4 separate regions of the Mus musculus genome follow, and regions 1, 3 and 4 are each reported to be linked to region 2. The links are microRNA targets in miRTarBase. Many come from high-throughput screens and were not tested one by one. Region 2 holds a microRNA gene; each other region holds the end of a gene's coding sequence.
What was found. Region 2 holds the annotated microRNA mmu-miR-466e-3p (UAUACAUACACGCACACAUAAGA, at 4,254-4,276, shown strand). A microRNA usually pairs through its seed, bases 2 to 8, with sites in the 3' UTR of a target mRNA and lowers its output. Matches are read on the target gene's strand: a 7mer-m8 pairs with bases 2 to 8, a 7mer-A1 pairs with bases 2 to 7 and ends in A, and an 8mer does both.

Region 1 (6,664 bases), not on the chromosome of region 2:
TGTAAAATTGGCTATTAAATCATCTACTTTAAAGTATAATATTAGCAATCGGAGGCCTACCTAGAGGTCACACTTTCCAGCTGTCAAATATATTGAAAATGAACTTTTGAAATACTGTTTGTGGGGAAATTTAGGTAAACTACATATGCAGGCAATCATTCTTCTATCCATATATAATGTAAACAGAAGCTATGCAAATGACTTGCTACCTTCTCTATAATCTCCTTGCCATTACACAGTGCCATGACCTAATTCTCAGCTTGAATGATTAGGGACATAAGAGATCACCTGCATTCTATCAGCACCAACACAGAGTGCATCAGGAAGCCAATGATATTCAAATAAAATAAAGTTTCTTGAGTCATCTCCATTGAAATCTCAAATGTATTTCTCTCTAAAAATAAGGAAAGAAAAAAAAACTACAAATAAAACCTCATTCATTTCTTTTCTATTATTCATGACTTAACCCAGTTGACATCACTGACTTCTGTATCACATAGAACTTATGAGACAGCCACTAGTGGTTTTTATGTGTATATTTTAATTAACATAGAATTTATATATTTAACATGTGTTTTACAAATATCCTATGATTACTTCTAATGGGAAGATAATGGGGACTACTTTTACCTTATTCACAAAGAAAATATAGATATTACAGTGTCCAAAGTCTATGTACTTTTCCTTGTTTCTAAAAGTTTTTCACATACATTTAATAGATACGAGTATTTTGTCTGCATGGATATATGTGCACTATGTGCATGCCTGTACATACAAGAGGACACTGGGTCCCCTGGAACTGTAGTTACCTATGGTGATAGCTGCCATATGTATTCTCTGTAAAGGTGTTAAGTGTTCTTCGAAGCCAAGCCACCTCTTTAGCCCCAATCCCTGGTCTTTTAAAAATATAAAATCTTTGCAAGTGAGTGCTAGGGATGGGGTCTTGGAAGGAGCTTAGGTGCATTGGAGGCACCCAAATGCCTGTCTCATTAGCTTCTCAGGGTGTTCATTTACATTCAAGAGACAAGCATTAAAATTTCCCTTCTTTGTGGCATGATGGTAAAATGTGGTAGGGACCTTGGGTTGTCTTTTCACACCTCAGTTATCAGATATTAAAAAAAGGGAGAGAAGCAGGCTTTCTTAGCATCCCATTCACCTATAAATTGAGATGAAACAGGGAGTTCCCAAAGGCTGATCTCAACTTACTATGACGTCTAGTAAAGAGTTGTACTCATGGTAACCATCTGTTGCTGTTCAAATGGCAATTAAGAAAACAATCTAAGCAGACACACGTAAGGCAATCTGAAAAGCAGAATGTTCCTATATGCATGTTTTAGTGTTATAGTATCTGCAGAGCACAGAGAAATAACCCTATCAGCTGTCCTGATCCTGTACCTGCAGGGCTGGGGAGAAAATATGCACAGACTGTGGGTGGACACTCATGACCTCACAAATGGACCTGGACCCAGCCATGCTTACTAAGAGAAATGTTCAATCTCCTGATAAAAGACAAGAGCAGGACCTGTTGTCTGCTGAGCAGAGCCAACCATTTCCAAGAGCCACTTAAAATCAAAGGAGAGAATCTACTGCTTTAAAGAAGAGATAAAGAAGTGCTATAAGAATATCAGTCAATGGAAATACTTATAATCATGCAAGGAGAATAAAATTGCATCTAAGCATTGGAAATCTTTATGAGATGCTTTAAAAGTTACATGTCAGGTGCTTTGTATACTAAACAAAGAATATTTGAAAATAGAGTATTGTATATTTTAAACTGTTTGGGCTGCATTTAGCTTGGTGTTGTAATACTCAAATCATGGTTTTATATAAACATTCGAATATGTACATCAGCACAAACATTGACCCATGTAATTGCATGTGTATATACATATATAAATCTAAAATATGAGAAACATTTACTTTGTATAAAAACACATATTACAAGTGTGGAGGAGTATTCCTGAATTTAAAACCTGTTTTATGGCCTCATTGCGTTACTTATGTCGACTCTTAGTTGTCGGGAATGGTAATCGAGACCCAGTGTCTGCTTCTCTCTCTCACCCTCACCCTCTAAGCAATTGATATCATGCGTGAGTGCATCTCCATCCATGTTGTCCAGGCTGGTGTCCAGATCAGCAATGCCTACTGGAAGCTCTACTGCCTGGTACATGGCATCCAGCCTGATGGCCAGATGCCAAGTGACAAGACCATTGGGGGAGGAAATGACTCCTTCAACACCTTCTTCAGTGAGACAGGAGATGACAAGCATGTGCGTCAGGCAGTGTTCATAGACCTGGAACCCACAGTCATCAATGAAGTTCTCACTGACACCTACTGCCAGCTCTTCCACCCTGAGCAGCTCATCACAGGCAAGGAGGATGCTGCCAATAACTATGCCCGTGGCCGCTACACCACTGGCAAGGAGGTCATTGACCTTGTCCTGGACAGGATTCATAAGCTGGCTGACCAGTGCACGGATCTCCAGGGCTTCTTGGTTTTCCACAGCTTTGGTGGGGGAACTGGCTCTGTCTTCACCTCCCTGCTGATGGAGTGTCTCTCCGTTGATTATGGGCCCTGAATGTTGATCTGACAGAATTCCAGACCAACCTGGTACCCTACCCTCGTATCCACTTCCCTCTGGCCACTTATGCCCCTGTCATCTCTGCTGAGAAAGCCTACCATGAGCAGCTTTCTGTAGCAGAGATCACCAATGCCTGCTTTGAGCCAGCCAACCAGATGGTGAAATATGACCCTTGCCATGGTAAATACATGGCTTGCTGCCTGCTGTACCGTGGTTATGTGGGTCCCAAATAGTCAATGCTGCCATTGCCACCATCAAGACCAAGCACAGCATCCAGTTTATAGATTGGTGCCCCACTGGCTTCAAGGTTGGCATTAACTACCAGCCTCCCACTGTGGTACTTGGTGGTGACCTGGCCAATGCCCAGTTCAGGATAATTTTTTAAAACATTGTGGTTTTACGTGGTCAGAATATAAGAGATGAAATTAACTGTGACTATGCTGAGCATTTAATTTTTGGATGTTAGAAAAATATTTTGAAAATCCCACCATTGCATTAATTCCATTTGAATATGGCTACTGTTTTCTAACTCTGATTTAACATATGTAGCTAGCTGAACAACCGTACTGAAGACTCTCCTTCAATGGGTTTGGTCACATCTCCCTCTTTTGCAAATTGAATTATAACTAAAGTGAAGAAATGACTGAAACAGCCTAGATTTTCACGAAGCAGTGGCATTTCGTTCATAGTTTTTATGTAAATCTGCACTTTTCCTAATTGATCCAGATAGTTTTAACCAGAGGCATATTTTAACAGAACTGTAAAGAGAATGCACACACTGTCAAAAACTCATCACCAGGTGAAAACAGCCACAAAGTAAAAGTGAGTAATTACTAACACTGCATATAAATGGGGCTCATAAAGAGAAAGCCTGATACTTGGAGATTTATGGGCAATGTCTCCCATGCTGATGTTGTACTGTGATGAGGAAAACATTTTTGTCCACCAAGAAGTAAATTATCAAAGAGGTGGTTCACCAATGGATAGCATACCAAACTGTACACATTTTCAGGAAAAAAACAAACCACAATGAATGCACAGTGATGTTGCAAACACCGAGCTTCCTCACAATGAGCTATGATGAAGTTAACCTAACAAGTTCTCAATGATTTTAGTACAAACATAGTTCCTAGGATTGTGTCATGAATACTAACCCCTGGAAATACTTATTTTATGCATTTAGGAAAATTAGGGTGTATGTGTATTTCAATGGTAGAGTGCTTGTCTGGCTTTTGTAAAGCCCTGAATTTGATCTCAAGCTACACACACACACACACACACACACACACACACACACACACACACACACACACACACTCACACACACTACTCCCTCATCTTTTGTTCTGATGCTCTGAGTATAAGCCATTGAAAGATAAGTGACAGCCATGTTGATCACTAAGGGAAAAGAGTCCAATGTCAATATCAAAGTCATTCTACCTTCTTTGCTACAATAATGACATTTTTTTCCAGAAAAATAAAAAACAAAATACTTTCACAGTATAGATGTCCCCAGTAGGTAAAGCTATGTTTATAGACCTCATATATACAGAAACCATTTTGGTCTTCTGTTCAAGGTTCTCAGTCATGATAAGAAACGTGGTAGAGGAATGATAGCCCAGGTACCAAAGCCCTTAGGTTTTTTTTCCTTTCCCCCCAGCAGATAGGCACTAGACTCAAGAACTGTGAGCTTGCCTCACTGTATGACTTGCATATTAGCTTGCTACAAATACATGGAGTTACCAGTAAGTTGCTCAGAAATTAATTTGAATACGCTAGAGGATATGAATAGAGATAACTGATTCCTTTAGTCCATCATCAACGTTGTGTTTTCTTGAAATAAAAATCCATTTTGTATCTCAATCCTGGGCAGATGGCCAAGCTTTTGATGCATTAAGTTCATAATTCTTTAGAGTCTTCTGGTACAACTTCTAGTATAATCTGTAATGTTCTGGTTATTCTGTCTATAAAGAAATAAGGAGAAATTAAAATGCATGAAAATCACAGTGGCATAAAAATAGCAAAATGTGAATTATTTGGGGATGAATACTGAGAAGACACAGCTCCCTTCTTCACGGAGCACTTCCGAGAATTATTTACTTCATTACAATCCTATCATCCTCAATTAGTTGACTTGTCACTACTACAACATCCCATGATGCTTTCTCAGTAAGAATATATTAATATTTTGTATTCAAATAAGAAAATTTATTTATGAACCAGGAGGCTGAAAATATTTTGAGACAATGGAACCAAGATATAAATAAATGTTTACAAATATTCTTCATGTTCATGTTCAGCTCAAAATGGGTTTGTTCTTTTTTTTTTTTTTTTTTTTTTTTTTTTTACATAGGGGATAACAACCAAGTTCTCAGAACAGTCAGGAGGAGAATAGTATTTCCAGTGTCTAATCTGTAGTACTGTTCAGCAAATTATCTTAATTATCAAGACCTAGTCTGTCTCATGAGTAGAATGAGAAACTTGGACTAATTTGGGTCACTAAGGTCTGGTCCTTGGACCAATTACATTAAACACTCTCCACAATTCAGATTTTGCTTCAAGTCAAGGTCTCAGTCTCTTAAAGGTTTAACCCAGCAAGAGGTAACTCGAATGGACACCAAAATATAATAACCCCTGGCTTGTATTACTTTTAAGAATATGTTCTGACCACAGAGCTAGGGGGCTGGGCTTGGGGGTGATGGTTTTACGGACATTCTTGTTTTCTTGTTGTCATCAGTCCCCATAGAACATCTTCCAAAGTCTCCTGATCTTAAAGGAGCCTATGTGGCATCCTCTCCAAGGTTCCAGACCCAAATCATTTCCCCTCCAGACACTTTTCTCTTCTCTGATGACTTCTTATTCTAACAAGCCCTTGCACGCGATGTTTAACTACGTTTTTAAAAGCTATTTTTATCCTTTGTTCTCTGCTTCTTGTGGTGTTGCTAAATGTCCCTCCTTTGAACACTTGGCCCCCATCTGTTTGTTGGTGCTGTTTAGGAAGACTGTGTAAGGTGTACGGGTACAGCCTCACTGGGGAATGCAGGTTAAGAGGGCAGGTTTGGAGACTTTATGGCCCAGCCTTACTTCCTATAAAACCTCTCCTTGGTTTCTGCTCCCTTGCTGAAGACAGTGGACCAGACACCCGGGAAACCCCAGCAGTTGTGCCTTCTATGCCAGGATGGGCTGTCATCACCCAAACTATGAACCAAAAATCCTTCCTCCCTTAGACTGCCTCTTGCCTGGTATGTTGTTGCAGAACAAAGAAAAGTAACAAACAAATACAGTAATAATCACTGAGGGAGTTTGCCTGGGGACATCCCATGGGTTTTTTTCTTTGGAGGCGGGATGTTTTGTTTTTTGCTTGTTTTTAACCCTACGTTTATTTAGAGAGGTCTCATGTACAGTAATGTCAAATGTTATACCTTACATATTTCTTAAATAAGTTGTATTTTATACAGTCCAATCTGCCATGAAAGCAACAATCAAACCCCATATTTGCAGAGAAGAATATGGTAAAATTGTCAGACAGACAGACAGAGACACAGAGAGAGAGGGAGAACAAGCAATGGGGTTAAAGAAACAAGGCCTCAAGCCCCTGTTAGCCCTGCTCAAACTCCTGCATAACCTCCTAAACTAATCTCTCCATCCTGTCTTCTCACTTGGTCCTCCACTCCTGACATCAAAGCTCTTTCCTACTGCTTTGCCTTAATGTAGGTCTCTATATGCTGCCTTGTTAGATCTCTTGCTCCCTGATGTGGGAACTTTGCATCCATTCCAGACAACAGTAGCAACTGGGATGGCCCTGTGTCCTTCTGAAAGCACAGTTTCCATTCTTCTCTCAGCAGAGCAAGAGCAAGACCAAGACCCAGAGTGGGTGGTTCAGCCTAGCCAGCCCTGTTGACATATTCTCCCCAGCTCTCCCTTTGGGGTCCTAGTGGTGCCGTAACGTTTATCATGATGGAGTGCTCAGATAGGCATTTGGCCTGAGGTACATATTGGTTTCCCCACTTTTCCTCCTAAGCTGACCTACAACAGTGGGGCTGGCACAGGTGCTCAATGGAACCAAGGAAGCATCTAGAAACA
Region 2 (6,664 bases):
GGTGTGAAAGATTGTGGATCAGGAGTTCAAATGCATGCTTTACTACATGATGACTTAGAGATATGCCTGGGATTCATGTGATGCCCCCTATGTATCCCTATCTGTATCTGTTTCTATTGTGTGTGGATTTGAGTATATGGATGTACCTATCTACACAAATATATACATGTACACAGACACAAACAGAAACACACACACAAACATCAGTGCAACTCATCGATCCATTTGAATGACGTGTGACTTAGAGTTTTAAGATTCCTCAGTACTGAATGGGGAGAGGTCTCACTCAGCAGGTGAAATCCCTTGACAGAGTCAGTTGGATCAGGAGTTCAAATTCGTGCTGAATTTCATGATGAGTTCATGACCAGCATGGGATTCATCTTATGCCCACCAAAAATGTGCATGTGTGTATAGTTGTGTGCATATTCACTTCTCTATATGAATATGCATATACACACATGCACACACATTCATAGGAATGGCCAGAGCTATGTCTCAGTTAGGAGGTGAGCACTCTTGCCAGTGTCAGGAGGATGAGGAGTTCAAAATCATGTTTAACTTCATGATGAGTTAGAGTTCAGCATGCGATTCATGTGATGTCCACCAAGAATGTGCATGTGTGTATAGTTGTGTACATATTCACTTTTGTATATGAATATGCATATACTCACATGCAAACATACTCCCACGAATGGCCCGAGCTATGACTCAGTTAGGAGGTGAATACTCTTGCCAGCATCATGAGGATGAGCAGTTCAAATTCATGTTTAACTTTTTGATGAGTTAGAGATCAGCCCGGAATTCATGAGATTTTCCCTGTGTTTGTGTTTATGTGTATAGGGAAGTATGCCTGTACATGCACGTATATGAACATGCATATATATATATATATATATATATATATACATACATATATATATATATACACACACACACAACTAGGGACACATACATGTGCACACAAACACACATGGCAGTCATCCATTTGATTTATACGTGCTTAGAGTTTCATTGAGTTTATATTCATGGTATAGGGAAAAATCTCACTTATCAAATGAAAACTGTTTGCCAGAGTTAGGAGTCTCAGGAGGTCAAATTCATGCTTAACTTCATGATGAGTTAGAGATCACCCTGGATTTGTGGGATCGACCCTAGTTATGTACATTTGCATATAATTGTGTGTGCACGTACATGTGTATATATGATCATCCCTGTAAATACACACACATACAAATGTATTCACACATACAGGCATGCACACTCACACACATAAGAATGACACTCATTGATCCATTTGAATGATATATGTCTTAGAATTTTGCTGATTATAAAGTAGAGGGACAGTGAATATTCTCTCTCACCAGGTGTAAACAATTGGCAGTGTCAGGAAGATCAGGAGTTCAATTTTATGCTTAACTTCATGAGCAGTTAGAGATCATCCTGGAATAATGTGATGGCCCCTATGTATGTGCCTGTGTGCGTAAGTGCCTGCATGTATATGCGTGTATATTTTATGCATATACATACACACACCTACACACACATGCACACAGACATGCGGGAATGGCACTCACGGATCCATTTGAATGATATGTGACCTACTGCTTTGGAGGTTATGTATGACTGGGCCAGGGTGAGGTCTCACAAACCACGGGAAACCCTTGGTAGAGTCGGGAAGATCAGGAGTGCAAGTTCATGGTAAAGGCATGATGTGTTAGAGGTCATCCTGGCATTCATGTGATTGCCCCTATGTATGTGTGTATGTGTTGATGTGTGTGTACATGTACATATGTGAATATGATATACATATACATACACGCACACATAAGACACATATGAGCACACAGACACATGGGAATGGCACTCATCAATCCATTTGAGTGATAAGTGACTTAGAGTGAAAATGCTTGCTAGAGTTAAGGGTATCAGGAGTTCAAATTCATACTTATCCTCATGAGAGATCAGCCTGTGATTCCTCCATGTATGTGCATGTGTGTATAGTTGTGTGTGCATGTTCATGTCTATATTTGAATATACATAACATACACACACACGTATAAACGCAAGCACACATACACAGACACAGGAATGGCATTCGCCAATCCCTTTGAATGATAAGTGATGTAGAGTTTTAGCGATTATGCAATAGGGGACATTGAATGGTCTCACCCACCAGGTGTAAAAGATTGACAAAGTCAGGAGGATAAGGATTGCAAATTCATGCTTAATTCAGTTAGAGATCATCCTGGTATTCATGTGAGGCCACCCATGTATGTGCATGTGTGTTTACTTGTATATGCATTGCCTCTGTTGACATGATATACAAAATATAAACACACGTGTATATGCAAGTACAGACACAGAGAAAAAAATTGCATTCATTTATACGTTTGAATGATATGTGACTTAAAGTTTTAGATTATGCAGTTTGGGACAGTGAATGGTTTTACTCACCAGGTGTGAAAGATTGTGGATCAGGAGTTCAAATTCATGCTTTACTTCATGATGACTTTAAGATATGCCTGGGATTCATGTGATGCCCCTATGTATCCCTATCTGTATCTGTTTCTATTGTGTGTGGATTTGAGTATATGGATGTACCTATCTACACAAATATATACATGTACACAGACACAAACAGAAACACACACACAAACATCAGTGCAACTCATCGATCCATTTGAATGACGTGTGACTTAGAGTTTTAAGATTCCTCAGTACTGAATGGGGAGAGGTCTCACTCAGCAGGTGAAATCCCTTGACAGAGTCAGGTGGATCAGGAGTTCAAATTTGTGCTGAATTTCATGATGAGTTCATGACCAGCATGGGATTCATCTTATGCCCATCAAAAATTTGCATGTGTGTATAGTTGTGTGCATATTCACTTCTCTATATGAATATGCATATACACACATGCACACACATTCATAGGAATGGCCAGAGCTATGTCTCAGTTAGGAGGTGAGTACTCTTGCCAGTGTCAGGAGGATGAGGAATTCAAATTTATGTTTAACTTCATGATGAGTTAGAGTTCAGTATGCGATTCATGTGATGCCCACCAAGAATGTGCATGTGTGTATAGTTGTGTATATATTCACTTCTGTATATGAATATGCATATACTCACATGCAAACATATTCCCACGAATGGCCCGAGCTATGACTCAGTTAGGAGGTGAATACTCTTGCCAGCATCATGAGGATGAGTAGTTCAAATTCATGTTTAACTTTATGATGAGTTAGAGATCAGCCCGGAATTCATGTGATTTTCCCTGTGTTTGTGTTTATGTGTATAGGGAAGTATGCCTGTACATGCGCGTATATGAACATGCATATATATATATGTATATATATGTATATATGTATACACACACACACACACAACTAGGGACACATACATGTGCACACAAACACACATGGCAGTCATCCATTTGATTTATGCGTGCTTTGAGTTTCATTGAGTGTATATTCATGGTATAGGGAAAAATCTCACTTATCAAATGAAAACCACTTGCCAGAGTTAGGAGTCTCAGGAGTTCAAATTCATGCTTAACTTCATAATGAGTTAGAGATCACCCTGTATTTGTGTGATGGATCCTAGGTATGCAAAAGTGCATATAATTGTGTGTGCACGTACATGTGTGTATATGATCATACATATAAATACACACACATATAAAATGTATTCACACACACAGGCATGCACACTCACACACATAAGAATGACACTCATTGATCCATTTGAATGATATATGTCTTAGAATTTTGCTGATTATAAAGTAGAGGGATAGTGAAGGTCTCACTCACCAGGTGTAAACAATTGGCAGTGTCAGGAGGATCAGGAGTTCAATTTCATGCTTAACTTCATGAGCAGTTAGAGATCATCCTGGAATAATGTGATGGCCCCTTTGTATGTGCCCGTGTGCGTAAGTGCCTGCATGTATATGCGTGTATATTTTATGCATATACATACACACACCAACACACACATGCACACAGACATGCGGGAATGTCCCTCACGGATCCATTTGAATGATATGTGACCTACTGCTTTGGAGGTTATGTATGACTGGGCCAGGGTGAGGTCTCACAAACCACGGGAAAACCCTTGATAGAGTCAGGAAGATCAGGAGTGCAAGTTCATGGTAAAGGCATGATGAGTTAGAGGTCATCCTGGCATTCATGTGATTGCCCCTATGTATGTGTATATGTGTTGATGTGTGTGTGCATGTACATATGTGAATATGATATACATATACATACACGCACACATAAGACACATATGAGCACACAGACACAGGGGAATGGCACTCATCAATCCATTTGAGTGATAAGTGACTTAGAGTGAAAATGCTTGCTAGAGTTAAGAGTATCAGGAGTTCAAATTTACACTTATCCTCATGAGAGATCAGCCTGTGATTCCTCCATGTATGTGCATGTGTGTATAGTTGTGTGTGCATGTTCATGTCTATATTTGAATATACATAACATACACACACACGTATAAACGCAAGCACACATACACAGACACAGGAATGGCATTCGCCAATCCCTTAGAATGATAAGTGATGTAGAGTTTTAGAGATTATGCAATAGGGGACATTGAATGACCTCACCCACCAGGTGTAAAAGATTGACAAAGTCAGGAGGATAAGGATTGCAAATTCATGCTTAATTCAGTTAGAGGTCATCCTGGTATTCATATGAGGCCACCCATGTATGTGCATGTGTGTTTACTTGTATATGCATTGCCTCTGTTGACATGATATTCAAAATATAAACACACGTGTATATGCAAGTACAGACACAGAGAAAAAAATTGCATTCATTTATACGTTTGAATGATATGTGACTTAAAGTTTTAGATTATGCAGTTTGGGACAGTGAATGGTTTTACTCACCAGGTGTGACAGATTGTGGATCAGGAGTTCAAATTCATGCTTTACTTCATGATGACTTTAAGATATGCCTGGGATTCATGTGATGCCCCCTATGTATCTCTATCTGTATCTGTTTCTATTGTGTGTGGATTTGAGTATATGGATGTACCTATCTACACAAATATATACATGTACACAGACACAAACAGAAACACACACACAAACATCAGTGCAACTCATCGATCCATTTGAATGACGTGTGACTTAGAGTTTTAAGATTCCTCAGTACTGAATGGGGAGAGGTCTCACTCAGCAGGTGAAGTCCCTTCACAGAGTCAGGTTGATCAGGAGTTCAAATTTGTGCTGAATTTCATGATGAGTTCATGACCAGCATGGGATTCATCTTATGCCCACCAAAAATTTGCATGTGTGTATAGTTGTGTGCATATTCACTTCTCTATATGAATATGCATATACACACATGCACACACATTCATAGGAATGGCCAGAGCTATGTCTCAGTTAGGAGGTGAGTACTCTTGCCAGTGTCAGGAGGATGAGGAATTCAAATTTATGTTTAACTTCATGATGAGTTAGAGTTCAGTATGCGATTCATGTGATGCCCACCAGAATGTGCATGTGTGTATAGTTGTGTACATATTCACTTCTGTATATGAATATGCATATACTCACATGCAAACATACTCCCTCGAATGGCCTGAGCTATGACACAGTTAGGAGGTGAATACTCTTGCCAGCATCATGAGGATGAGTAGTTCAAATTCATGTTTAACTTTATGATGAGTTAGAGATCAGCCCGGAATTCATGTGATTTTCCCTGTGTTTGTGTTTATGTGTATAGGGAAGTATGCCTGTACATGCGCGTATATGAACATGCATATATATATATATATATATATATGTATACACACCCACACAACTAGGGACACATACATGTGCACACAAACACACATGGCAGTCATCCATTTGATTTATACGTGCTTATAATTTCATTGAGTGTATATTCATGGTATAGGGAATAATCTCACTTATCAGATGAAAACCACTTGCCAGAGTTAGGAGTCTCAGGAGTTCAAATTCATGCTTAACTTCATAATGAGTTAGAGATCACCCTGTATTTGTGTGATGGATCCTAGGTATGCACAAGTGCATATAATTGTGTGTGCACGTACATGTGTGTATATGATCATACATATAAATACACACACATACAAATGTATTCACACACACAGGCGTGCACACTCACACACATAAGAATGACACTCATTGATCCATTTGAATGATATATGTCTTAGAATTTTGCTGATTATAAAGTAGAGGGACAGTGAAGGTCTCACTCACCAGGTGTAAATAATTGGCAGTGTCAGGAGGATCAGGAGTTCAATTTCATGCTTAACTTCATGAGCAGTTAGAGATCATCCTGGAATAATGTGATGGCCCCTATGTATGTGCCCGTGTGCGTAAGTGCCTGCATGTATATGCGTGTATATTTTATGCATATACATACACACACCTACACACACATGCACACAGACATGCGGAAATGGCCTTCACGGATCCATTTGAATGATATGTGACCTACTGCTTTGGAGGTTATGTATGACTGGGCCAGGGTGAGGTCTCACAAACCACGGGAAAACCCTTGGTAGAGTCGGGAAGATCAGGAGTGCAAGTTCATAGTAAAGGCATGATGAGTTAGAGGTCATCCTGGCATTCATGTGATTGCCCCTACGTATGTGTATATGTGTTGATGTGTGTGTGCAT
Region 3 (3,000 bases), not on the chromosome of region 2:
TTGAAAAAATCAAAAAGAAAAAAAAAAAAGAAAAGAAACAAAGTTAAAATAAATGTGTATGGAGAATAATGTGTGTTCTTTCATCAAGAAGGTACAGGTTCTCTGTGTGTTTTCCACTTCCTGATTTGTATCCACTTTCTTCTAGCCATGCCTTTGCTGGATAGCCTGCTAACCTTGTAATGTCTATTTACAGATAGGAGAGAGAATCCGAGTCATCCTGGACATGGAGGATAAGACTTTAGCTTTTGAGCGTGGGTATGAGTTCCTGGGGGTTGCCTTTCGAGGACTTCCAAAAGCCTGCTTATACCCAGCTGTCTCTGCAGTATATGGCAACACAGAAGTGACTTTGGTTTATCTTGGAAAACCTCTGGATGGATGACAGTGACTTTCTGGAAAGAAGAAGAGTGGAGAAGAGATCTACTTGTGGAAAGTAGAACCATGAAGTGATAGTATCATGTGTGCATGCCCAAGAAACATCCTGAAGACACGTGAAGTTGAGAACTGGAGAAGCAGCTCTGCCACAGAGTGATCATAGCGTTTCCTCTTTCCACTGGGCCAGAAAATCCTCAGGGTTGCAGTTGGTTGAGTGGGCAGTTGACATATGCATGTTGCCACAGCGTCTTCTCTAAGTTAGCAGTGTGTTACTTCCAGCTTAAAGGTGAGCGTGTAGAGATGCCATAGGAGGGAATCGCAAGGGTTTATGTAGTGTTGATGGAGAAGGCTCGGTCCCATCTTACAACTGCCTGTTCTTTCTCCAGTCCCTTTATTTCTAGCCAGCTTGACTTAGAAAGTATGAAACTGGCTGGGTTTTATTTAATATTTTTAATATATTGAGAAGCATGGTCTGCCTGGACTGCACTTCTCTAGCAATGAGAAATAAAATTGTGCAGCTATTTTAAAAGTTGTATATATAATGTGTGTAAAAACTGTATAAAAAGGGGGGGGGGACAAAGGCATTGCTTTGTTCTACTTCAATTTCTTAAAAATCACTACATGGTACAAAATTACAGTGACATTTGGGGATAGTAGGGTAACAGAGAAAAGAAGAGGAGACATGTTGTACTGGTTCATTTGATAGTGTTTTGGGCTTATAGTCCATGGCTATAACAGGATTATGATAAAGGTTCCTCAATGGTTAACGCCTGGGGAAGCAGATCTACTTAGCATTGTGCACATGCCAGCAAGGCTGACTCAGAAGTGATAGATAGGAACGTGCCTCTTGGCATCTGGCTTAGTTTTTGGCCTTCTGAGAAAACTGGTCTCCACACAGAACAGTCTCAGCTGATCTTACAGAACTCAGTGTGAGCGCTGTTAGTATAAACCCTAGGAAAACACATGGTCAGCCATTCTCTCATTTCTTAACTTTATAATGCTGTAGCTGTTATGAAGAATTTTTAATTTCATATTGTTTACATTATACAACAATCGAAGCCTCAAAGTCTCCACTGGGGCTGTCATCAAATGTTTACTCACCCACCTGAGACAGTGCCAGCCTGAGCCCAGGTTAGGAGTGTTCTTAGTCACCTAGGTGTTGCCCCATGGGACTTAAGGCTGAAACCTTCAGGTTGGCAGCACCATGAAAGCTTCCTTGGCAAGAGTGAACGTCAGCTCCTATTCTGACCCGTAACCTTCTCACTAATACTCTCTGGAGTGACTCAACACATGGGCTGAGGTGGTTGTTGGTTGTTTTCCTTTTGTTAGAACAGAAACGTCTTTCTGTATAAAAGTATAATTAATATGGTTTAGATACATAAGAATTGATGAAGGCAAGTAAAATCTTTGTACTTTTTACATGATTGCTGTATGTATATTTTGTTTTAAATCTAATAAAATTAGGGACAGAGAGTGACTCGCTGGGGTTCTTGGGGTCCTTGAGAATTAAATTTGTCAAAACTGCTATGAAACAGGAGACTGGCCACAGGACGGTCTGTAGTTGCCTCCTGAAAGGGTTACATGTATTTATTGTATATTTGCTATGTTGCTTGAAAAAGAAATTTGTTAAAGATTCTTTTTGATAATCTGTATCAAGAAGAAACCTTGTACAAAGTGGAATTATATGTTAAACGTTTTAGGGAAGATAGCTGGCCCAGGAATTGTTTTGTTTTTCTTGTTTTTTGTGGGTTTTTTGTTTGTTTTTCTGCTCTAGAACAACTCAATTTGGTGGCACTTAAAAATTGATTAAAGACCTGGGTAAGGATGAAGACTGACTAGTTAAAAGGTGCGGGTGGTCCTTACTCGCTGCATCTTCAGGGTATTACAGTTCCTCAAGTTCTCATGAGTTTGACTCAGAACTTCTGTTTTTGTCTTGTTGTTGGTAAATGTTCATTTGCAACAAGTTTTTGAAGGTGGTGACTGGAAAACAAAATCACATGGTTATTCATTCCTCATTGAACTTAGAGTCGGATAATTGTCTAACAATTTAACACCAACCCACTCTTTCTGTGTCTTGTTTTGATTTTGGTTTTTTTAAAAGCTGAACTCACAGCGATCTCCCTGCGTCAACCTCCCCAAAACTGGGATTAGAGGGAATGCTACCATTCCCAGAACAACAAGCCATTTTAGCTCAACGATTTGAGTGTTCCTAGTCAGGACAGGCCTCTAGAGAACAGAGAACCTTCATTTATAGCCTGATCTATTTACTAGAAATCTTGTTAGTGAGATAAGTAGTGGCTGCCCAGATCATTAAGGTAAACTGCTGAGTGTTAAAGGAGGTCGTGCTCTTGGTGGTGCGTAAAGAGCACATGGAAGACACAGTTGTACCTGAGCTGAGTATGAGTCACCTGAGTCAGTGCTGTTCAAACATGGCCAGATCTCAGAGTGGCTTAAAAGTACTGTGGATGGGTCCGTATCCTGATCCTGGTGTCAGAACTGGGATATGTTCCGACCATAAGGATTTAAAAATGCCCTGGTTTCAGAATGCTACCAAAGGTTGAGAGCAGTTGTGTCGAATTTGACCTAGAAGTTTCTCACCTACAAAGTAGGAAGTTCTTGCCCCACTCA
Region 4 (6,664 bases), not on the chromosome of region 2:
TTAATAGAACAAACATGCTGGTTTGCCGCTCAACTTCCTGTTACTTTAAGCAACTTCATGTTCTTCTTCTGTGGGAGCTGTGCCTTCCCCTACAGCTGACTTGAGAACTGGAGAATATACTTCAAGTACCTCACGCATGTGCAGCCGAGTTCCAAACAATCGTTATGATGACTTTTATGTCTCGGTTACTGTGGTAGTATTCTAGTGGTAAGGGACCTGGCATTAGGCTTCTTCACTACCCATGTAGCATTCTCTTAGTCATGGAACTCACCCAGAGCCAAGGAGCTACAGCAGATCCAGAGGAATACTGATGTCAGCCCACAGGCCTATGCTTAGCTACGTTTCTTAGACAGCCCAGGACCACCTGTCCAGGGAATGGTGCCCCTCACAGTGGTGTGAGCCCTCTTCCGTAATTAACAGTCAGGATACTCCCTCACTGATAGTTTTTGGTCTGGTCAAGGCCTCCCTTCTCAAGTGACTCTAGGCTGTGTCAAGTTTAGTTAAAGCTATCAAAAGTCTAGTAATGAAGCAAGTCTATTTACCTATCAAGGACAAAAATTAATTTTTTTCTTTTGTCTTTTTATCTTCAAAACCACCACTACCAAAATTCCATCTACAGGAAAGAAGGTGGAAAATTTGGCTTTGCAGAGTCTATAGCAAACCAAAGAATCACAGCGTTTAAAATGGAGACGGCCCCTATTGATACCTCCAACATAGAGGAGAGAGCAGAAGAAATTATTGCTGAAGCTGAACCTCCCCCAGAAGTGTAAGTGTATCTTTATTGGGTGGGTTTGTTTTTTTTTTTTAAGATTTATTTTATTAATATATGTAAGTACACTGTAGCTGTCTTCAGACACTCCAGAAGAGGGAGTCAGATCTTGTTACAGATGGTTGTGAGCCACCATGTGGTTGCTGGGACTTGAACTTTGGACCTTCGGAAGAGCAGTCGGGTGCTCTTACCCACTGAGCCATCTCACCAGCCCCTATTGGGTGGGTTTTACAGTAATCAGATGCATAAGTTTTTTGTTTTGTTTTGTTTCTTTAAGGCTAGAGTGTACATATTGAAGTTTGTTTTGGGGGACCCCATACTATAAGAGAAAAATATGCCAAACTGAGTTAATAATGTAACATCTAGCTTCTCTTCCCTATCTAAAAATCGTACATTTTTCTATTTTAAGAACCAACTAGCCAGGCGTGGTGGCGCGCACCTTTAATCCCAGCACTTGGGAGGCAGAGGCAGGCGGATTTCTGAGTTCGAGGCCAGACTGGTCTACAGAGTGAGTTCTAGGACAGCCAGGGCTATGCAGAGAATCTCTGTCTTGGAAAAAAAAAAACCCAACTAAAAGCTGGGGGATGTAGATCATTGGTGCTGCACTTTTCTAGCTGTTTATGGCCCTGGGTTCCATTTCACCACTGTAAGAAAATACAAACCAAAGCCAGCATTCATTTCCCTTTGAGAAATGGTACTTCAGTGTTAATGACATGGCCAAGTTCTTTATGCATTGTTATATAATCTTGAGATCATGTGCAGTTATGTTATTTAGCAGTCCATAGTATATTAATTCCTAAGAATTTATGGAACACATGAAACAGTCTTCCAGGAAATCTGATCTCTTCTTGGTAGCTCATTAAATAACAGTGTTTTGGATATTCAGTTTTCTTAACTTGTTAAAGTGTTTCTCAACCTGTGCTGTGGACTCCTGGAACTGCCCAGATTGGAGACGGAATAGAAAACTCCTGGGGTGACCTTGAAGATTCTGAGAAGGAAGAGGAAGAGGAGGAAGGTGGCATTGATGAAGCTGTCATTCTTGATGATACAAAGATGGACACTGGAGAAGTTTCTGATATTGGGAGTCAAGGTAGGTGATGCTTTTAATGTGTACAGAGACAGCCACAATTGAGATATTTAAACTATAGACAAAGTTTTGTATGGAGATTATAGATCATACATAGGGATATTTCTTGTTTTGGAAGGCTAAATATTTTAGCATTGAAACTAAATTTTAATTAAACGATTGAATAGAAATATTAATACCAGTTGTAAAGAATGTTTTTATTTTTGTAAACTGGTGGTATGCTTTGGCATACTAGTGATATTTTGAACAATTTTTTAAAATTACATGTAGCCAGGTGTGGTGGCATACGCCTTTGATCCCAGCACTGTGGAGAGGCATAGGCAGGAACATTTCTACATAGGGAGTTTCAGGCAGCAGGATTAGAGATCCTGTCTCAAAAACAAACAAAAATATGTCCATGGGCACTTAAAGATTTTTCTTAAAGATTTCTTTCCTGCCAACAGCCTTGTTTAGTTTGATTCAAATATAAAAAAGCTCATGAAATAGGCCAGAGAGATGGTTCAGCTCTGGAGACACTTGAAGCTCAATCACAATAATCCAGTACTCTCTATAATTCTAGCTCCAAGAAACTGATGCCATCTTCTGGCCTCTGTGGATGCTAGCACGCACACACAGAGATACTGCACAGTAGAATTTTCTGTGGTAAGAAATTATGTACATTGGCTAGGGTAGCAGCTTCACCTATTGAACAATTTTTTTTTTTAAATTTATTATACCTAAGTACACGTAACTGACTTTAGACACACCAGAAGAGGGCATCAGATCTCATTACGAGTGGTTGTCAGCCACCATGTGGCTGCTGGGATTTGAACTCAGGACCTTCAGAAGAGCAGTCAGTACTCTTCTCAGTTAGTTCTGAGCCATCTCACCAGCCCACTATTGAACATTTTAAGTGTGGCTTATCTGAGTTAGTATGGCCACATTGGTATGTTAGAATGTGGGAAACTTTAGAAGCCCCCAGAAAGGTCTTATGTATATGTGTGTGCTCCAGTATGCCAGGGCATGCATAGGGAGTTCAGAGGAACTTGCTGGAGTCCCAGGAAGTTGTGAGCAGCTCAGTATGGATGCCAGGAACCAAACTCTGGTTCTTTTGTAGGTACATGCTTTTAAAGACGTCACTAAATGTGTGCTACCTATGTATGAAATGAGTGCCTTGAAGGCTAGAGTCAGGCATCAAATCTGGAGTTGCAGGCAATTGTGAGCTGCCCCCATGTGAGTGCTATTCCCTGAACTCATAGCAGTATGCACTGTTAACAGAAGGGAATTGCTACTTACAGCCTTTTGGTGGTATTGTTTTGGCAGGGGAACAATGTTGGTTTAACCAGATAAATGAGTAAATTAAAGATCCTAATTAATTAGGACTATTAAATGCTGCATAGAGAATCATCCAGTTGGTTTAATCATCAGTAATGCTTTTTCTTATCTTCTCACTATTACGGTGCTAGTATATCTTTGCACTTGTATATCTCTTTTCATAGAGGCTTTTTGTTTGTGGTTTTAAGAACCCTGAGCAATGAAAGTGGACCTAAAATAAGTAGGACAGTGAAGAAGGTAGAGCTTTCCTAAAACATGTGAATAAAGATGAGACAACACACAGCCCACCAAATGGGTAAAGGGTTAATTTGCATGCTTTATTTACACACATATATAATTACTGTTCAAGAGAAAAATGGGCAAACAAAGCAGTTTTCTACATTTTTCATGGGCAGTCCTGGTAGCAAGAATTAGAGCATTCTGGCCTACATGTCCTCTGGGGAAAAAGGAAAGAAAGAGTTTATAGAAAACATCAATTTTTACAAATTTTCAGAGCTGCAAGGAGCTACTTACTTAGAACAGGGTAAGATTCGGAAAGAGTGTCAGCCTCCGGGCAGTAGAGCTTGGGAGCTCCCTTAGCCTGGAGATGGGAGCGTTAGGACCTCTGATGTGCTTAAGCAGTAAACTCCTTTTTTGGACTTTTCCAAAGGTGCCCCTATAGTGCTATCAGATAGTGAAGAAGAAGAAATGATTATTTTGGAGCCAGAGAAGAACCCAAAGAAAATAAGGTAACAAATTTCTGGCCTCTTTCAAATATACATTAAAAGCTGGTTCTATAAAATGGGGCACCTTTCAGAGTCCCAGTGACCCAATCCAGGACAGATGGGATACAGTGAGCTGTTATATTACTTCATTCACAGAGCTCAGACCAGTGCAAACCAGAAGGCACCAAGTAAAGGCCAAGGGAAAAGGAAGAAGAAGAAGAGAACTGCTAACTAAGCTAAAGTGGTGGATCTCTGTGTGTGTGTGTGTGTATACATACTCAGTGCTAACAGCTCTGGGTATCTTACAAGCTGAACTTCTTGATACACTGTTTGTCTTTAACATTATGCTTTGAATAAACTTTCTGGAAAACTTTTCTGTTGCACAAGCTTCCCAACTCATGTAAGACCTTATTTGTTAAAGTTGATAAATAAAATGTCTCCATAAACTACTGTAACATCTGAGAGCCGAATGAGTTCTGCTACATTGAAAACAGTTTGTCTACTTTTGGTTATTTATGAACAAGTCAGCAGTTTGGTTTGGTTGCTTAGAATAATCAATCAATGCCAGAATTTGAAGGTCTTTTTCCCTGAAATATTTTAGTTTTATAAAATCTTTTCCTACTCCCCACTGTACAATAAAACAAATCAAGTTAGTTTCTAAACGACATCATTCATATTTTTATCTCAGATTAACTTTGACTTGCAAAGATTTCCAAATCAGTTTATTCTCAATATCTTGACAGTTGGCAGCACCAATGTTAACCAATTAAAATTATCCAAATAGACACATGTACAAAAGATATACAAATTAAAACCATTTTAAAAGCAATGGATACCATAATTTGTCTGTGGCTATACCATCTACATTCAGAAGTGATTGTGAAACTAAAACCCGACATAAAAACTGTACAGCATGGACTCCGAGCGACTCCTGTTTCAAACAAAGCCGGCAGTCTTTCACTCACACACTTAGTGTCTCTGGTGGGTTGAGAAGAGAAACACTGTGATATCTGTTGAGCAGAGAAAAAAAAAACTTTTAGTAAACATTCATTGGGGAGATTACAGAACAATTCATGTACCCCAAGACTGGAGAAATGCTACTTTTACTTGATTATGAATTTAAAAACATTTGATACGTAGAGCACATACATCTGCCCCCTTACCCTTCTCTTACCAGAAGCAAAGGCACAAAAGCTTCCTAATACATGACTTAAGAGCCAACTGAGGTAGTGGCAGGTTACTGTATTCAACAAGAATTGGATTCTTACTTTGAATGCTTGTACTTTTCCCGTATTGACTGTTGGGCATGTTGTGGCGCTTTGAGGTAGGTCTGGTGAAGGTCCACAAGACAAGGCTTAAGACTCTCCAGGGTATATCCAGTCTGTTGTGCCAATGACTCAGGCTAGGGAAGGGACAACCATTGAGTTTTTTGTAACAGCACAGGGCACTGACCACAAGCTCACAGTTGATCTAAATATTGGCACTAATCATTGACAGGATGTTTTGTTATTTCTAAATGTTGCTCCCTCCTCAATTCTTCACTCAGGGTGTCCCCCCTGTTTCAGCTCACTCACTCCATCTTTTATTTTGGCTGTTTACTTCCCCTGCTTGCAGCAGGTGGAAGGCTCAGATTCTTGAAGCAGAGCTTTCAGTGCACCTTTACAGCTAAGCTTTCAGCCCAAATCAAAGCGGCACCCATACTGGAGAAGGCAACTGGTAATACACACCCAGCTCTGTCCTGTGACTGTGTAGAGAGCCAAGTGGAAGGCAGCTCCAGCAATGAGTGAAGGCAGGTACTTAAGGTACGGGTCAGCATCTATCAAACTCAGTTCTCCCAAAAACTGAAATAAAAAACAAAACAAAACCCCAACTTTTATAATCACACATAAGACTCAAGATTTTGAATCCTTGCTTCCTGACCAGTTTCCATTGTCTTGGATCTCACTGGTTCTGTATCAGCCCTGGGAAAATTATTTCAATGTTTTCCTCTATTCTCAGCTTACATTTCTCTCCCCTAATATACTAGGTTGTTCTCTTTAAGCCACTAGTTAGCGCCTTTCCAGCATGGTCACTTTTGTGTATTCATTGGGAAGTTCTCTCCTGAACCTCTCAGCCCCTATCCATGGACACTAGATACTTAAATCTCTTACATATAAAAGATGCATGCTATTTTCATAAGTTAATGCTATATACATAGAATATCACTGAATTACTTGTAAAACAAAATAGACAATACACATATGATTGGTGTGTGCTTATCCAGTACATGGGCAGCTACGTTTAATGCCTGTTTATTATACCATAAGTGCAGAGCCCACAGGTAGAGAGGGCCATAGCATTTTCTGTGTATTGGAGCATTAACTGTCCGAAAAGACTTAAGCAGTGTTATTTGACGAAACCAGTGCTTGCCCCTTAATTGCAACCTAAAAACAACCCCCAAACTGGACTTACCATTGCTAAGCTTTCAACCTTACAGTTTGCAGGCTGCAGGTGCAGGAAGTACTGGGTAAGGAACTGATTTACTGTTGGTGCAGCCAAGTCAAAAGCAAGGACTTTCAATACTAGGTGCTCCATTCTCAGAACCTGCTTCTTGGAATAGGTATCGTCTGTAATATACACAAACTCTGCTACTTCTGGGGGGTATATTTCTTCAAACTTCCTATAACAAAAGCAGTTGTGAGTGAGTTTATTCAGAAGGTCTTGTCTTAATCTGAAGTGCAAAGACTGTAGACTCCACTCACTTCCATCAACCACATCCCACTGACAGCTGACTGACATCTCTAGCTGAGA

Region 1: miRTarBase lists Slc7a11 as a target of mmu-miR-466e-3p. Seed matches in the 3' UTR shown: 8mer at 1,884-1,891.
Region 3: miRTarBase lists Fbxo45 as a target of mmu-miR-466e-3p. Seed matches in the 3' UTR shown: 8mer at 1,803-1,810.
Region 4: miRTarBase lists Ccna2 as a target of mmu-miR-466e-3p. Seed matches in the 3' UTR shown: 8mer at 4,144-4,151 and 7mer-A1 at 3,925-3,931.

The regions. Positions count from the first base shown.
Region 1 is chr3:50,367,822-50,374,485 of GRCm38, forward strand. It overlaps Slc7a11 (solute carrier family 7 (cationic amino acid transporter, y+ system), member 11), which reads right to left. Exons shown (of 12, transcript NM_011990.2): 12 at 1-4,545. The coding sequence ends at 4,481. Among named protein-coding and RNA genes, the nearest start is that of Slc7a11, 72 kb to the right of the region's middle.
Region 2 is chr2:10,477,331-10,483,994 of GRCm38, forward strand. It overlaps Mir466c-1 (microRNA 466c-1), which reads left to right and starts at 4,204; the gene lies at 4,204-4,287. The region is part of intron 10 of Sfmbt2 (Scm-like with four mbt domains 2); the gene reads left to right. Mir467b (microRNA 467b) reads left to right here and starts at 3,918; the gene lies at 3,918-3,990. It overlaps Mir669a-5 (microRNA 669a-5), which reads left to right and starts at 4,431; the gene lies at 4,431-4,517. It also overlaps Mir669j, Mir467a-2, Mir466e, Mir669a-4, Mir467a-3 and Mir466c-2.
Region 3 is chr16:32,230,462-32,233,461 of GRCm38, reverse strand. Fbxo45 (F-box protein 45) reads left to right here. Exons shown (of 3, transcript NM_173439.2): 3 at 194-3,000. The coding sequence ends at 379. Among named protein-coding and RNA genes, the nearest start is that of Gm25848, 12 kb to the left of the region's middle.
Region 4 is chr3:36,561,399-36,568,062 of GRCm38, forward strand. Ccna2 (cyclin A2) reads right to left here. Exons shown (of 9, transcript NM_009828.3): 6 at 6,326-6,533; 7 at 5,602-5,715; 8 at 5,143-5,276; 9 at 3,467-4,884. The coding sequence ends at 4,836. It overlaps Exosc9 (exosome component 9), which reads left to right. Exons shown (of 12, transcript NM_019393.2): 9 at 620-766; 10 at 1,675-1,859; 11 at 3,820-3,898; 12 at 4,031-4,329. The coding sequence ends at 4,109. Among named protein-coding and RNA genes, the nearest start is that of Ccna2, 8.3 kb to the right of the region's middle.